2 linked regions of the Diceros bicornis minor genome follow. The protein of the gene in region 1 purifies or fractionates together with the protein of each later gene. This does not show direct contact. Links are inferred from orthologs where the notes say so. Each region holds a gene or a part of one and is shown on either strand. Other genes may lie near its edges.

The links. Proteins that work in one complex are often made in the same cells at the same time.
Region 2: the proteins of SLC16A11 (region 1) and EMB purify together in Homo sapiens (co-immunoprecipitation; 3 studies listed by BioGRID and IntAct, counting the BioPlex papers as one, with this or other methods). This does not show direct contact. The link is inferred for Diceros bicornis minor from reciprocal best matches to the Homo sapiens genes SLC16A11 and EMB.

The regions. Positions count from the first base shown.
Region 1 is NC_080757.1:11,217,115-11,225,056, reverse strand, and holds SLC16A11 (monocarboxylate transporter 11), read right to left. Parts: upstream 3,153-7,942; 5' UTR 3,138-3,152; coding exon 2,936-3,137; intron 2,676-2,935; coding exon 2,532-2,675; intron 2,368-2,531; coding exon 1,283-2,367; 3' UTR 1,237-1,282; downstream 1-1,236. Other genes in the region: BCL6B (B-cell CLL/lymphoma 6 member B protein), read left to right, coding at 54-250. UniProt on the Homo sapiens protein: Proton-linked monocarboxylate transporter. It catalyzes the transport of pyruvate across the plasma membrane.
Region 2 is NC_080759.1:24,653,555-24,661,404, forward strand, and holds the start of EMB (embigin), read left to right. Parts: upstream 1-4,346; 5' UTR 4,347-4,566; coding exon 4,567-4,678; intron 4,679-7,850. UniProt on the Homo sapiens protein: Plays a role in the outgrowth of motoneurons and in the formation of neuromuscular junctions.

The DNA.
Region 1 (7,942 bases):
CAGTCCCAGGAAACAGATCACCCATGTGTATTCTTTTTCTCTCTTGGACCTAGGCTACCTCCGGGATGTGACAGGCAACTACACAGCTTCTTTTGTGGTGGCTGGGGCCTTCCTTCTGGCAGGGAGTGGAGTTCTCATCACTCTGCCCCACTTCTGCTTCTCAGCTCCTACCTTAAAGCCCCAGGAGCTTGTAACAGAGGCATTGGATACCAAAGTCCCCCTGCCCAAGGAAGGGCTGGGAGAGGACTGAACTCCAAAAAGGGGCTGTCAGACCCAGAAAGCCAGAGGTTGGCAGCTCCAAGTCTTCTCCTTGGCGCCCACAGAACCACAGTGCCTTAAACATCTTGATCTGCCTCCCCCCAGAGCAGGCCTGGGGCTCCTGCAATGTGTCTGCCAACCCTTGGTATTTTGTTGAGGATTCTCATCTCTTCTTTGCTCCCACAACCTTTTCTGAGGGATTCAGGAGTTCAGCCTGCTCTACTGAGCTGTGGATCACCTGTGAAAATCAAAGGCCAACAGACTTATCATGTTTTACACGTGCTCTCTAATGTTGCCTACTGAGTTTCTTCTCTGAAGACAGATGTTTGGGAAAGAAGGATGCTCCTTTGAGATAAAACTGAGTAAGCAAACTGGATAATAATCAGAACTTCAAAAAGAGCTGGGGCCCATATGCTTGGGTTGGCTGAATGGGTCATGGCTGGGGAGTAGAGGGGAGGTGTCCAGGAGCTCTGGTGACCCAGAGCATTTTAACCCTGGACTCTGTTCTCTGGACCACAGTTCCTCTTGCCCACTGACCTCCCTCTTGCCCACTATCCCCTGTGACTTAGAAAAGACATTAACAGAATGGTGGGGGACACAGAGTGGGGGGGAGTTTGGGAGGGGGAGCTAAAGCTGAGAGAACTGAAGTCTGGGTCTAAGACTCTTTTATTTCCCTCAGGCCAGTAGGAGGATACTGAAATGCAGGAAAGAGTTTTCTGGGATGGGGAGGGGGCAGATAGCACCCATGAGTCGTCCCCCCAACAACAAACTGAAGCTGACAGCAGACAGCTTCTCAAAGATTCCCTGTTATAATGGCAACAACTTGGGCAAAGAGAAATGGACCGGCTGGACAGACAGACACCCTTCCCCTCCCCCAGGGCTTAGTGGGATCATGTTCCTTTGAACCAGCCTTTCTGGGTATCTTAAGTAGAATGTTTTCAGCGTCCTAGATTGGCTAACATTTGGAGCTTGCAGGAAAACCGGATAGAAATTCTTTATTGGGGGAGGGGCTCAAACAAAATAGTCAACAAGTGGTGTCCGGGGTGGAGTGAGGGCCTCCTGCGGAGAGCAGGGCAACCTGAGGAGCGGGGAGCAGCTCCCCCCTCTCAGGGGGAGGGGCCGCTGGTTGTGAGGCTGCACCGCAGGAGGGCAGCGCCCCGGGCAGCCCCGTGTAGATGAAGCTGCCAGAGAGGATGAAGGAGCCGCACACGAGGAAGGAGGCGGTGAAGTCGCCGGTCTCATCCCTTAGGAAGCCTGAAGGGAAGGGGAAAGGAATTTGGAGGCCTCGGACTCCAGGGGCAGAGGATGGTTGCGAACGGGTCGGCTGGCTCAGGCCCTTACCTGACAGAGGAGGGCCCAAAAGCCCCCCGAGGCTCATCAGCATCAGCATCAGCCCCGTTCCCTGTACAACACCTCCAATGCCCACCAGCCCCGGGATCACGCCGAAAACCAGCGGGGCGTAACTTCCGGCGCTCAGCCCGTAGGCCCCAGCCGCGGCCAGCAGGGGGCCCCCCCAGCCCTCCTTGCTGCGCGCCACAGGCACCAGTCCCACGGCCAGCAGCCCCAGCCCGGTTAGAGCCCCGAACACCGCCAGCAGCCGCGAAAGGGGCACCCAGCCCTGGTCCGCCAGCCACCCGCAGACCAGCCGGGCGCCCGCATCCCCCACCGCAGCCACCGCCACCACCAGCGCTGCCCCATACCCTTCCAGGCCCCGGTCTAAAGCGTGAGGGGCCAAGTGCACGTAGGGGACGAAGTAGCCGCCCCCCACCAGGGCCGTGCCCAGAGCAAAAACTGAGAAGGCCCGGCGTGTGAAGAGACCCAGGCCGAGGGCAGCTAGGGGTCCGCGGGGTGGGGCCTGGGGGTCGCCAGGGAGCGTCAGGGGGCGCAGCAGAGCGCCACAGGCGATAAGGTGAAGGGTAATGGCGCCAAGGAGGAGCAGGGCGCCCCGCCAGCCGAAAGTATCAAGGAGGAACTGCAATGCGGGCGCCAGGAGCAGCGAGGAGACCCCGTTGCCCGTGAGTGCCAGCCCCATGGCCAAGACTCGACGGCGGGAGAAGTAACGCGAGAGGGTCCCCAGGGCAGGGGCGAACACCAGGGCCCAGCCGGAGCCTGCGAATGGACAGGACGGGGTAAGGGCACCGGCCGGGGATGCCTGCCCCAGCAATCCCAGCCCGGCGCCTCGCGGGAGGCCCCCACCCGTTAGCCTCCAGCCCCCAACAAGCTCCTATCTCCACCATCACGCGTTAAGGACCCCAGTATCCCTCTCCCCTCACCAGCAAGGACACCCAGGCCGAAGTACAGATGCAGCAGACTGCGGGCGAAAGCCGAAAAGACGAAGCCGAGCGAGGTGAGGACGCCCCCAACCATCACCACGGGGCGCGCCCCCCAGCGGGTACTCAGGGCGCTGCCCACTGGGCCTAGAAGGGGGCGGAGTCAACGGAAGACACGCCCCTGGACCCCCAAACTCGCTCCAACAGTTCTCCTTGGCTGTTTGCCTGGCCTAAAACCCCTCCCCCAGCCTAATAGCTCCTTCCTTTGACCTCAAGACCCACTCTTTTCTAGAACGTGGTTCCACCAGTCTCCCTTTCTCAGCTTGTCTGGTAATCAGGTGAGTCCCCCACCACTACGCTCACGGCCCCTCCACCCCAGTTCCCGCCTCCCTCGGGGCGCCCCTCACTGGCTGCCTGCTGCACGGCCAGGGCCAGGGCGCTGACCCACGCAGTGTCCTGAGCGCTTCGGTCAAAGTGCTCCGCGAGGTCAGGGAGAGCAAGGCCCAGGGAGCGTAACAGCCCGTAGGAGAGCCCGTTCACCGCGAAGGCTGCGGCCGCCACCACCCAGCCCCAGCCCCCGTCAGGGGGTCCGGCCGGCTTGGGGGTCATCGCCGTCTGGGGGAGGAGGAACACCTGTGAGTGAAGTCTCCACATCTGTGCCTCCTCTAGGGACCTGGCATCCCTGAGATCCAGCTTCTGGCTGCCTGCCCAGGGTGGGCACGTCACCCTGAGCACGACAGGGCGGGGAGAGGGAGCGGGAGCTAGGCCTAGGGATAGAACTCCTGGGTCCGCGCGAGGTACTGGGAGGGGGAGACAGCCGGTTCCCCCAGGCCTGGGACTCCCTCTCCCGCGCACACCTCTTCCCCCTTACCCGACCTCTCTGCGCGGTGAGGGGTAGGGCAAGGACGAGGAATGGCACGGCCTGGTTTTCTCCCCGCTTCCCGGGCGGGCGGGGCCCCGGAGGGGAGCGAGTGCAGAGATGGAGCCCAACTTGGACGGGCTCTCTCCGTAAACAGAGAACACCGCAGGGGGCCTGAGCCACCTGGGACGCGGAGGGAAGGAGGGCGGGGGCGAGCTGAGACCGTCAGCCAATCTGCCGAGCCGCGGGTGAGGCCAGACTCCGGATCCCACGGGGATTGAATTATATACACACACACACACACCCCAGCCCCCGGGAAGGAAGCGGCGAGGAATGACTGCCGCCCCGCCCGCCCCTCTCACGTCCACGCACCTGCCGCCTGCTGCGCACGGAGGAGACGCGTGGATTGCAATCCCCAGCAAGCCCAAGGTCTGTAGGCAACACACGGAAATAGGGGTGGTCCCTCGAAGCCTGAAGGGATGAGTAGTTTTGTTCTCAGGGAACGTTGTGGAGGACCAGGTAAATCTCGGATATCAAGTCACAGACCTCCAGTGAGTGCTTGTTGGGTGCTCAACAATGTGCCCTGAGGACGGAAGGGAAGGAGGAGGACTACCTTATTATGAGGAGTTGTGATGTACCAGGCAGTCTACACGTGTCATCTTTCCATCCTCACAATAACCCTGTGGAGAAGGTGTCATCCCCATTATACAGATGAAGTGACTGAAGTTTGGAGAGGTTAAGTGACTTGCCCAAAATTACCCAGCTAAAAAATGGGGGAAATATTTGAATTTGGATCTGTCCAACTGCTGAGCCATACAAAGAGGACAGACCTAGGACTGAAATAGAATCTGCCAGTTGAGGGAAATGGCCTGGAGACAGTCTGATGCCAAACTGACCTGGAGATAGTGGAGTCTTTGCAGGGCCAGAGAGTATGGTTCTAAGATAGGGGTTACTGGGAATAGAAAGGATCCTTGCAATCAGAATCACTAAAGATTTAGATTAGAATTTTGAAAACAAAGTAAGAAATCCAAGAATTGAACCCAGGTATTGATTTCCTGAAAAGCCTTATGAAAAGCATCCTTTTCACATTAGGATTAAGGTTACCATTGCTTTACTTCAACTATTGAATCAAGAGATGTGTTCTTTGGTTTAACTGCGTGTTAAATGGTATCAGAGAAAATTGGTCAATTTACAGTTTGGGGTATGCATCACCCAGCAGCCACATGATGGCAGTGTTTCCTAATTGTTGAGAAAGTAGAGTTGAATAAAGAGAAACAGCTTAAGTAGTGACACTGTAAACCTAACAAACCTTCGATGGCTCTCCACTGCCTATAGGAGGAAGAAAATCAAATTTCTCTACTGTGGGTTTAAGGCCTTTCACAAGCAAAAGTAGAGCCAGACTACCTGTCCATTCCATCTCCCTCCCCTCTCTCCAAACCCTAGCATCTCACCTGCTCCATGGACAGGCCTAGCTTTTTCTCACTCCTGCATTTTTGCATATGTTATGACCTCTGCTTGAAATGTCCTGGATGGGATACAGGAATCCATGAAGGTTTAAGGTCCACCCCACATACCCTAGGAAAGTGGTCTCACCAGTTTCCCTAGCCTGGGGTGCTGTTGTGAAAGGCACCTGGGAGGTAGAGCCAGCAGATCCTCAGCCACCCAAGATGGCAGGGAGCCCACTTCCTGAGATGGCTGGTGAGGACTCTGCTGAACAAAGCCAACTGAAACAAATAGCTCCCTCTCCGCGGTGAAGTAAAAATGCAGGGCAAAGAGGAGACAGGGCCTCTGGGTCTGGGAGTTGTACAAAGTGAGCACCTTTACAGGACACTTATGAACCCAGAGGGCACCCCAGAGCCCGAGACTGGGGCGATTGGTTGTGAAAGGGCACATTCCTCTTCTACCTCTTGTTCCCTGTATTCTTAGAACAAATTACCATCACTGTCCATCTTTTGCTCATGGAGCTACTATAGGCTTGAGGTTGGGAGAATAAATTCTCAAGCTAGACTTCCTGGGTTTGAATCCTATCTCTGCCACTCGTTAGCGGTATTGTGAGCAAGTTACTCAACCTGTCTGTGCCTCAGTTTCCTCATCTCTAAAATGGGGATAGGGCCTGCCCGGTGGTGCAAGTGGTTAAGTGCACACGCTCCCCTTTGGTGGCCCAGGATTCACAGGTTCGGAACCAGGCACGTACCAATGCACCACGCAGCACCCCATGCTGTGGGGGTGTCCCATATAGAGTAGAGGAAGACGGGCACGGATGTTGGCTCAGGGCCAGTCTTCCTTGGCAAAAAAGAGGAGGATTGGCATCGGATGTTAGCTCAGAGCTGATGTTCCCCACCAAAAAATAAATAAATAAATAAAATAAAATGGGGTAATAGTAGTAGCTACCTGATAGGGTTGTTATGAGGATTAAGAGTCACTGTGTATACATGTATAGTAAGGGACTTAGAACAGTGCCTGGAACGTGATAGGTGTCAGCCCCCATTGCTGCTATTGCTCTGCCTCGGAGGAACCTGGCTAGACCCTACAGCACCGCTGCCCCTTTCCTACCTGGCTCTGTTTACTAATGCCTCAAGGTCAAAGAACCACAGTGGGTTGGTGAGTTCTCAGGAGAACTACATGAGCTATAAGAAGTGAATGGCTACAAAAAGAGGTTAAATGGAAATTTTTTTCTTTGTGGTGTGTGGTTTTCTTAGCATTTTCCAAAGTCTATGAGAAAATGCTGGTCTCCTATCTTGACTCTAAAAGCAAAAGAGAAGAAAGGAGTCAAAATAAGTTTTGTTCATTTGCTCCTTTATGCAAAATATTTATAGACACCTACCATGCCGGATGCTGTGCTTAGGGCTAGAGATACAAATATAAATCATACAGTCTTTCCCCTCCAAGCCCCCACAATCAAGTTAGAGAAAAAGTGAAATAAATAAATCTCAGCACAAGGAGAGGGCCACAGACACCATAGAGTGGTGCTTGGAAGGAACTGACTCATTCCACTTGGGCCTGCTGGGAAGGCTTCACAGAAGAGGAGCCCTTTGAGCTGGGTATAGAAGGATGAGTAGGAGTTTGCCAGATGGATGCGTGGGCAGGGACATTCCAGGCAAAGAGCAGCTTGTGAAAAATCACAAAGGCATGAACCAGCTTGGCACATTGTTTACTGTTTGGGGAGGTGTAAATAGCTGCTGGGTGGAGAACAGAGAGTGTGTAGGAGAATAATGTCAGAGAAAGCTGCTAGGGCAGAGGGTCCCATCATGAAAGGTCTTGTAGGCCAAGCTAAGGAATTTAGATGTTTTCCCAGAGATAGATGCTTCTCAAAAATTTCCACTAACGTAGCATTCACTAATCTTCACTAATATTGGAAGCTGACCACAGAGGAGAGAAGATTCATACCACAGTCAGAGGGGTCAGGAGGGTCTGGGGTTGTAGACCTTTTGCACTTGGGAAATTTCTTTGAAATAGCTTGTTTTACATTGAAAATTCATGTGGAATGTTGCATCCTACTTCATAATCTTCGATGCATACTTTCATAGGAAAATAATGCTTTAAATGACTAGGTAAATTATTTAAGTTTTTCTCCTTAAGTCTTCTCCACAGATAATGCAGCAAGGTCTCCTCTGGGAAGTCATCTGACCACACCCACTCCTAATCTGCATTAGATGCCCCCACTCTGCCTGCTTAACCCCCATCAGAGTACTTCTCAGCCTGCAGTGAAATCATTCATTTGTCTTCTGCCCCTCACACCCACGTTGCCCTAGAGGTGGGACTTTGCATTATTGATCTCTGGATCTTTGACACCCAAAGATGCCAAAGGTAAATGATGAATGACTGAATGAAAGAAACACTCAACAAGGGGCTCATTGAATGAGTGGACTCATGGCCCAGTGCTCCATGGGATGTGGCAGTACCACAAGAAGGAGTTACTAATGGACCAAACTGGTAATGCCTGCCCACCTGGAGAAAGCCCCAGGAGCAGATGTTGAGCTGGGTCAGGTCTTTACGGACATCTAAAGAGAGGGTCACGCTCTGTGCATAATTTGCTTTGGGGACCACGAGATCTGAGAGTGTGTCTATGTTTGTGAACTTTAAAACTGCTCTGGCACTTTCTCATGGGAGCCCCTGCAAGAGGTTGTTGGGGCCTCAGGGGTCTACAACCTCGAGGAAGCCCTGAGCTGAGCCCAGCCATTCCCTGGGTACACCCACTGGGGGCTCCGTCTGCAGAAGGTGGATGGGAGGGAAGAGGGCAGACAAGGATGGATGGTGTTACCCACAGGAGTGGGTATTTAACGTATGTTGAGTGGTATATTGAGCTCTATTTGAGGTAAACAAAAATAGGAGGCTTTCTGGTGTTTGGCCCAGCTGATCTTGGGCTTCTAAGTGCCTAATAGAGTTGCCTCTCACCCTCACCCCCCAGAATCCTCTCCTTCCCCGGCTCACCCAGAGACCAGGCCATGGGAAGTCGGTGTAGACCTCAAAGCCCAGGCCCAGGGCTCGGAAAAGTGGAAGAACATGACCCAGGAATGAGATGAGGATGCAAAGGTTGGGGTTTGTGGTTCAAGGC
Region 2 (7,850 bases), on another chromosome or scaffold:
TTTTTCTTCCATATCCACTCCTGACTTTGTTCAAGTATAGAATCATTTTCTTACAATGTAACTAGATTCACATCTGATGGGCTCCCCTGTATTAGTTTTCTCCTGTTGCATAACAAATTACCACAAACTTAGTGTTTTAACACAAATTTACCATCTCCCAGTTTCCACGGGTCAGAAGTTCAGGCACGGTTAACTTGGTCCTCTGCTCAGGGTCTCACCAGGCTGTAATCAAGGTGTTGGGTGGGACTATGATCTCATTGGAGGCTTGGGGGTTTCTTTCAAGCTCACAAGTTGTTGGCAGAATTCAGTTCCCTGGGGTTTTAGGACTGAGGTGCTCAGCTCTTGAAGGTTGCCCCCCTCCATGGGCAGTTACTTCACAATGTGGCTGTTTGCTTCTTCTAGACAAGCGTGAGGGCATCTCTCTCACTAGGAACGGCTCCCTCTAGCCTGCTAAAATGGTGTCTTATCAAATGTAACCTAATCAAAGCAGTGACTACTCCATCATATTCACATTCAAGGGGAGCCAGGGCCCATGACCAGGGGAGCAGGAATCTTGGAGGCCAGCACAGAATTTTGCCTACCATATTCCATGACTTGTATTTGTATTTGTGGTTTTTTGTTTGTTTATTTTCTAAGGGTCAGTAGCAAATTTTCACCTTTCTTTTTATTAATTTATATATTACTGTCTGATATAACATTTTTCTCCAATAAAATTCTTTTAATTAGATATTATTTTCAGTAAAAGGTAATCCACATCCACATCCACGTTCCCATTCTCATTTTCACCCCTTCCCAGGACCCTGTCACACACTTTTCACTCAATGACAGTTTATATCCTAAAATAAAAAAAGAATAAAGATTTTATAGTATTATTTTACAAGCACATGTTTCAGAAAAAAAATGTTTTCCCTATACTGATTCTCTAATAAGTAAAAAACAGAGCACACTAAAAGTACTATTTTTGTTATCAAGGCCCACGCAGGTCCCAACCTGTCCGTGGTTTGGGGTTGTTATCTGCCTCATAAAGCAAAGTAGAGGATTTGTCTTCTGTGAAGACAAAGTCATCTTCTCTGAAAAATCCTCCCACATATTTGGCTTTGGCGTCCACCAGGAATAGGAGGGCAGGGATTGACGCCTCATAGGTCTGGGTTTTCAGTTGAGGTAGAGAAAGGACAGTGGTTATAGCCAGAAAGTCCAGAGTGGGGTGTAAGTTACCTCCAGAACTCGTCACTGTTAACCCAGCCTGGGCTTCATGACAGTCACAGAAGTGGATTCCTTAATAATAAAATAATACAGTTTCCAAAAATAAAAAAAATAAAAAATAAAAGTACTATTTTTTAAAAGATACTGCAGGAAATAGAAAGACTTATAGAACTATTTCCGGGTACTGAAAAGACTTGTAATGTATTTGGGGAAAAAAGATATAATTACATAACAAGTTGAATACCAATAAAATATTTAAATGGAAATTGTAGCCAACAATGAGGGTCAAGCGACAAGGCTGTAAATTATTAATTGTCAAATTAATCCTACAGACAGTATGAGTTCAGAAGAGAGTGTTTGGATAATTTATTGTGGTGACACAAGCTACCCGAAAATTTAGTGGCTTAAAACAACAACAGCTTTGCCTCACAGTTGTGCTGGCCAGGACTTCAGGCAGTGCTGAGCTGGCAATTCTGCTCCAAGGAGCATCAACTGGAATCATCGAGTGGTACTCAGCTGGGGGCTGGTCTTGTCTGAAGGCTCCAAGAAAGGTCCCTCACAAATCTAGCACCTTACTGCTCCTCAGCTCCTCTCTTTCCACGTGGCATCTCATTGTTCCGTGCCTTCCACGTGGTTTGGGCTTCTTATAGCAAGGTGATCTCAAGGTAGTGATAGTTCTTTCTGGGCAGCTGTCTCATAAGAACAAGGAGGAAGGAAGTGGATGCTCTTATGGTTTGGATCCGGAAACTCACACAGCGTTACTTCATCAATAGTTACTATGTCAGAGGAGTCACAGAGACCACCCAGCTGGAGGAGAGGAAACACAGGACCCTTTTTCTCCCTCAACATACCTCATGAGGAGGACAGTGTCAAAGCATTTGTGGCCATATTTAATTCACCATAGAGGGAAAGTTCAATTTGGAGCAGAAAGGTCAGAAAAAGCTATACAGGGAAGGGAGCATGTGAGCTGGTTTTAAACGATATGGAGCATTTGAAAAAATAAAGTGGAATAGGATAAGGCCAAAAAATATTAAATATCTAAAGATAAAATAGTAACAATGGGGAAAAGACTTTCAAAATGCTTAGCAGCACAAGAATTGTATTTCTTTCTCAATTTATTTTGCTCTAATGACAAAAGCAACAGTGAGAATTAGTCTCAACTTGGGCAAGTCCCTTTTTCCTGTTCATAAACATGTTGATTCAACTGAGAAGATACTTTTTCTTTAAATTTAGAGGTCAGCTCATTTGAAGAGAGGTGAATTTGAGCTCAAGGACTTTATAGGGCGAATTGGGGAAGGTCAGTCAGAGTTCAGCTCGTTTTGAGAAGTGCTTACTGTTAAAACTCTCCAAGGTATGGGAAAATATTTGTAGTTAGTCCTGAGACAGGATGCAGGGCAGTGAGACAGGGGGTGTAATTTAGCAACCATTGATGAGGCAATTTGAGTTTAGCAAGTCGGGTCAAGGTCCTAAGAAGGTGATGATGTATAATGTTTAGTCATAAGGCTTTGTTCAGAAGGGCTTAATCATTATAACCATAATTTTCTGACTGAGAGGAGGCTTTCCTTAGATTTGTAGTTCATAGATAAATGGGTTTCTAGATTAAATAATGTGTGTGTGTGTGTCCGTGTGTGTGTGCGCGCGCGCTCACGCTCCTTGCAGTACATGCAGCCTATTTTGAACGCAGTGCCTGGCACTTGGTAGCTATTTAATATTGCTTAATGAATTGTATTACTCATATTCTCTCAACACCAATTTAAACAATCTACATTCTTTTTTAAAGTTTTGCCTATATAATATTAAACTGGAAACAAAGGAATATTCTAGTAATACATACCCATTAAAAATTAACCATTCCTGGGGCCCGCCTGGTGTCGCAAGCGGTTGAGTGCGCGCACTCTGCTGCAGCGGCGGGGGGGGGGGGTGGGGTGGGGGGGGTGGGGGGGTGGGGTTTGCTGGTTTGGACCCTGGGCACACATGGAGGCACCGCTTGTCAAGCCATGCTGTGGCGGCCTCCCATATAAAGTAGAGGAAGATGGGCATGGGTGTTAGCCCAGGGCCAGTCTTCCCCAGCAAAAAAAAGAGGATTGGCAGATATTAGCTCAGGGCCGATCTTCCTCACACACACACAAAAATTAACCATTTCTGCCTGAAGTGAGCATAGCTCTTGTGTAGCACTTCAATTTTCAAAATTTATATCTAACTTTTTCTTTCAACCATCTTTTTTTGACACTGATATATTTTGAATTTGTGAATATCAAACCTGATATTCAAAAAAAGGGAGCGGGAACAAAGCTCATGAGAAACACTTACTTTAAAAAAATATCCTTTAATGTGTTATAACATCCTGCAGAATCATCAGATCTTACACCTCTTTTACATTATAATGTAGATTTCTCCTCCCCTCTCCAATAAAGCAATAGCTTTTACTTGTTACATTGTATTCGGTCGGGAGCACTAAAAATTCCAAGCTACAGCCTTACTGGGGAAGGGACAGCATTATCTTAATGGTAGAGTCTGATGAATGTCAGCAGGCTTGTGCAGCGCACACAGTATCTACTTTCAGTAGCTCTTATTTCTTGAGCTCTAGGTGGCTCTTCAGAAACTGTCGGGCTAAACAAACAAAAGGAAAAGAAAAACAGACACACTGTGGGGCCTTGGGATTCTGAAACTTTAATCTAGAGAGAACCAGTTAAGCCTTCAGAGACTGGAGGGGAGGATGTGCGCGATTGGTACGCAGAGCAAAGAAAGATTAGTCCAAGATGCAGGACAGCTGGATAGCGCCTTCCACCAGTGCAAACATGTCTCCTTAACAACCCAGGGATGACGGGGGTGGGGGTGGGGGTAGAAAGTATTCCGTCTAACCATCCTCTCATCTGTCCCATCAAAGTAAAAGTGACCCCTGCTTCAGATGAACTGCAAAGGATAGTCTGCAGGCTTCTTTATACTATATATATATATACACACACACAGGAGTTCCAACCTCTCTGCCAGGAGACGGGCTTGACATCACCTGCCCAGCGTCTTCAGCAAGCTCTCTGCCAGAGCCTGGAGGACGGAGGCGGGAGAGGATGCGGCGCGGAGGTGGCCACCGCACATCCGGGCGCGCCTGCAGCCGGCAGCGCGCTGCATAATTGATTGGGGGCCGGGCGCAGTTCTGGGTCGGCCTCGGGCGCGGCGAGAGCGTCTCGGGGGAGGAGGGCAGGGCGGCCGCGCCCCTCCCACTCGCCTTTTCTCGCGCATCCTGCCCTCTGGCCTGGCAGCGGGGGTCGGGACACCGGCGGGTGTGCGCGGGGACTCCCAGCACCGACGGCCGTGCGCGTAGGCAGCTGGTTCTGCGAGGACCGCGGCGGGGCCGCCGGCGCCATGCGCACCCTCTCCGGCCTGCGGGGGCCCCGGGCGCCGCCGCCCGCGCCGCTCCTCCTCCTGTGCCTGCTCGCCGCGGCGCGCCGGAGCTTGGCGGACGGCCATCCCTCAGGTGTGCTGGGTGCAGGGCCGGGGAGGGCCCAGAGGGCGCGCGGGAAGGGGCGCGCGGGGCTCGGTCCCTGCGGGCGGAGGGCCTGGGGGCGCGCCGGGCAAGGGAGGTGGGGAGAGGCGCAGGGATGCTGGCGACGGCGGGTGGGGAGCGGCGGCCGCCTCCTCCCTTTGGCTATCTAAGCTGCACGAGGGCACTGGGGCGGCTCGGGCTCCTCGGCGTGAATCTGGAACGAAGCTCCCGTGAGTCGGGGGCTTGGTCAGAGGGCAGTGACTGGGCTGTTCTAGGAAGACGGCGGTCGGGTGTGAGGGTGCGGGCGGGAGCAAGGCAACGACTTGGCCTCGGCTGAAGTGGCAGGCTTTCTGAAAGCCGCGATCGCTACGGCCAACTCCCTTCACGTGAATCGATAGTAAGGCTTAACTATCACCTCCTCTCTTCCGGGCAGGTGGATTGGCTTTGAGGGTGTTTTTAGAGCTGAGCTGAAAACATACCAACCAACCAACCAACCAACCAAAGCCCCACAACTCATAGGATACTGTGTGTGTCGTCTTTTACACGGTGGTCTTTGAAAACGAAGTTTTTTGTGATTGTTGTTTTATTGTTTGTTTAAGACACTTTGAAAGAGGAATTTAGGTGCAAAACGTTAGTAAAACCAACACCAAAGTTGCCATTTTAGCTTCACCTGTTTATAATTACTTTTTATGTTGAACGTATTCTGTCTAATCTACTTTCTAATGCAAGTTCCCGTGTTATACATTTCAGTGTTAGCAGCTCATTAGGATAATAGACCACCTCTCCAATTGGCAGTTATTGTCTATCAGTAACTAAAATCGGGATATTATTTTACACGAGGTTTTCAACCTTTCCTAGGAATTCATTTTTATGAGCTTACAGCGTGTAGGTTTTTTGTAACATGCTTTAAAGATGGAAAGATAAAGGGTAAGATTATTCATTTTTTATAAATTGTCCTTTATAAGGCCTAGTTCTTAACAACTTGAACAAAACATTTTGGGATGCTTCAGTTTCTAAATTTCCTTGCCCCACTTCCTGGCCACATATCTTCTTCATTCATACCACCTACAAAGAGCGGGCAAGGACATTTCCCCCCTGGAGCCATCCCTGATTCTCCCATCATTCACCTGAGAATACTGCAGTTCTGAGGACCAGTGCATTCTGGGTTTGTCCTAGAACTTTGGTCTTCTGCCTGGCTGTATGGTATGTTGAGATTCCCAGGGAGCTTTAAAAATACTGATACCCGGCCAGCCCCCCGTGGCTTAGCGGTTAAGTGCTCGCGCTCCGCTACTGGCAGCCCCGTGCCCGCACTGGCGCAGCGCTTCTCGGGCCATGCTGAGGCGGCGTCCCACATACACCAACTAGAAGGATGTGCAACTATGACGTGCAACTATCTGCTGGGGCTTTGGGGGGAAAAAAAAAAGGAGGAGGATTGGCAATAGATGTTAGCTCAGAGCCGGTCTTCCTCAGCAAAAAGAGGAGGATTAGCATGGATGTTAGCTCAGGACTGATCTTCCTCACAAAAAAAAAAAAAATAAATACTGATACCTGGATCCTGCCCTCAAAAATTTTGATTCAGTTGGCCTGGGATTCAGCCTGGACCTCAGGAATTTTAAAGCTCCCGTGTGATTTTAATTATGTGATTCTGAGCGGTTGATAACCACTGCTTTAAAATGATAATGGCCTAGAGAGTGCACTCACTGTTGGGGAGATAGTTATTCTGTTGGCATCAGGGAGTAAGGTTTAAATTGACGTTCAGAGCAGACTTCTACAGAGAAAAAAAGTAGGAAACAAATAAATGACAGTGGAGTAAATTAACAAAGTTGTAAATAAATGGGATGATGTACGTATGTATGGCAAATGTCTGTGTGTATATAGTGTAAGGCCTGTCCTTTTAGCTCCACTTAAGCTAAAATTGTGGAATAATGTGCCATATAAAAGGCATGAAGTAGCATCTCATTTTAAGGCAGAACGAAAAATTGTCAGGCAACCTCATCTCATTTTATAGATTCTGTATTGATCTTCATGAGATTCATTTTCCTCGTTGTTAAAGGATATTGTGAATTTTACTGGCTGTTTTTTCTTCTAGGTGCTTTGAACTACTTGGAAATAGGTGTTCTATAAACCTAAGACTTCGGGCCAAAGTTTAATAATAAAAATGGTTAAAATTTTTTATATTTACTATATAACAACTATGTGCCAGGCATTGCTTTATGCAGCTTGTAGCCCTATGGGTTAGCTTTTATTATCTCTGACTTTCAGATGAGAAAATTGGAATTTAGAGAGGTTAAATATTTGCCCACTTACACATAGTTAAGCAGTAGAGCAGGAGATTTAGCATGGTCGGATCTGACTCCCAAGCCTGTTTTCTTAAACACAATACTCAATTGTCTTTCTGAGATAACTCGGTATGTCTATGGAAGTTTAGAACTACCGACAGAGAGCACAACGTGTGAACTTAAATGCTTGATTTGAGCTGAAGAGCATGCTGACACATTTCCCCCCCTCCTTTTCTCCCCAAAGCCCCACTAGATAGTTGTATGTCATAGTTGCACATCCTTCTAGTTGCTGTATGTGGGACGCCGCCTCAGCATGGCCTGACAAGCAGTGCATTGGTGGGCACCCGGGACCTGAACCCGGGCGCTAGTAGCGGAGCGCGCGCACTTAACCTCTAAGCCACAGGGCCCGCTGCTCACGCATTTTGAGCCCTGGAATAAAGTTAAGCACAGGGACTCACCTTAACTCTTTTAGGCTGTTTCAATTAAATAAGAAATGTAGGGCTGGCCCCGTGGCTTAGCGGTTAAGGTTAAGTGCGCGTGCTCCGCTACTGGCGGCCCCAGTTCGGATCCCGGGGGCGCACTGACGCACCGCTTCTCCGGCCATGCTGAGGCCGCGTCCCACATACAGCAACTAGCAGGATGTGCAACTACGACATACAACCATCTACTGGGACTTTGGGGGACAAAGAGGAGGAGGGTTGGCAATAGATGTTAGCTCAGAGCCGGTCTTCCTCAGCACAAAGAGGAGGATTAGCACGGATGTTAGCTCAGGGCTGATCTTCCTCACACACAAAAAATAATAAGAAGAAATGTAAAATATCTTTGTAAAAGAGAAATATTATGTAGATGGGAATATTCAGACATCACTGTTATTCCTATTTTAC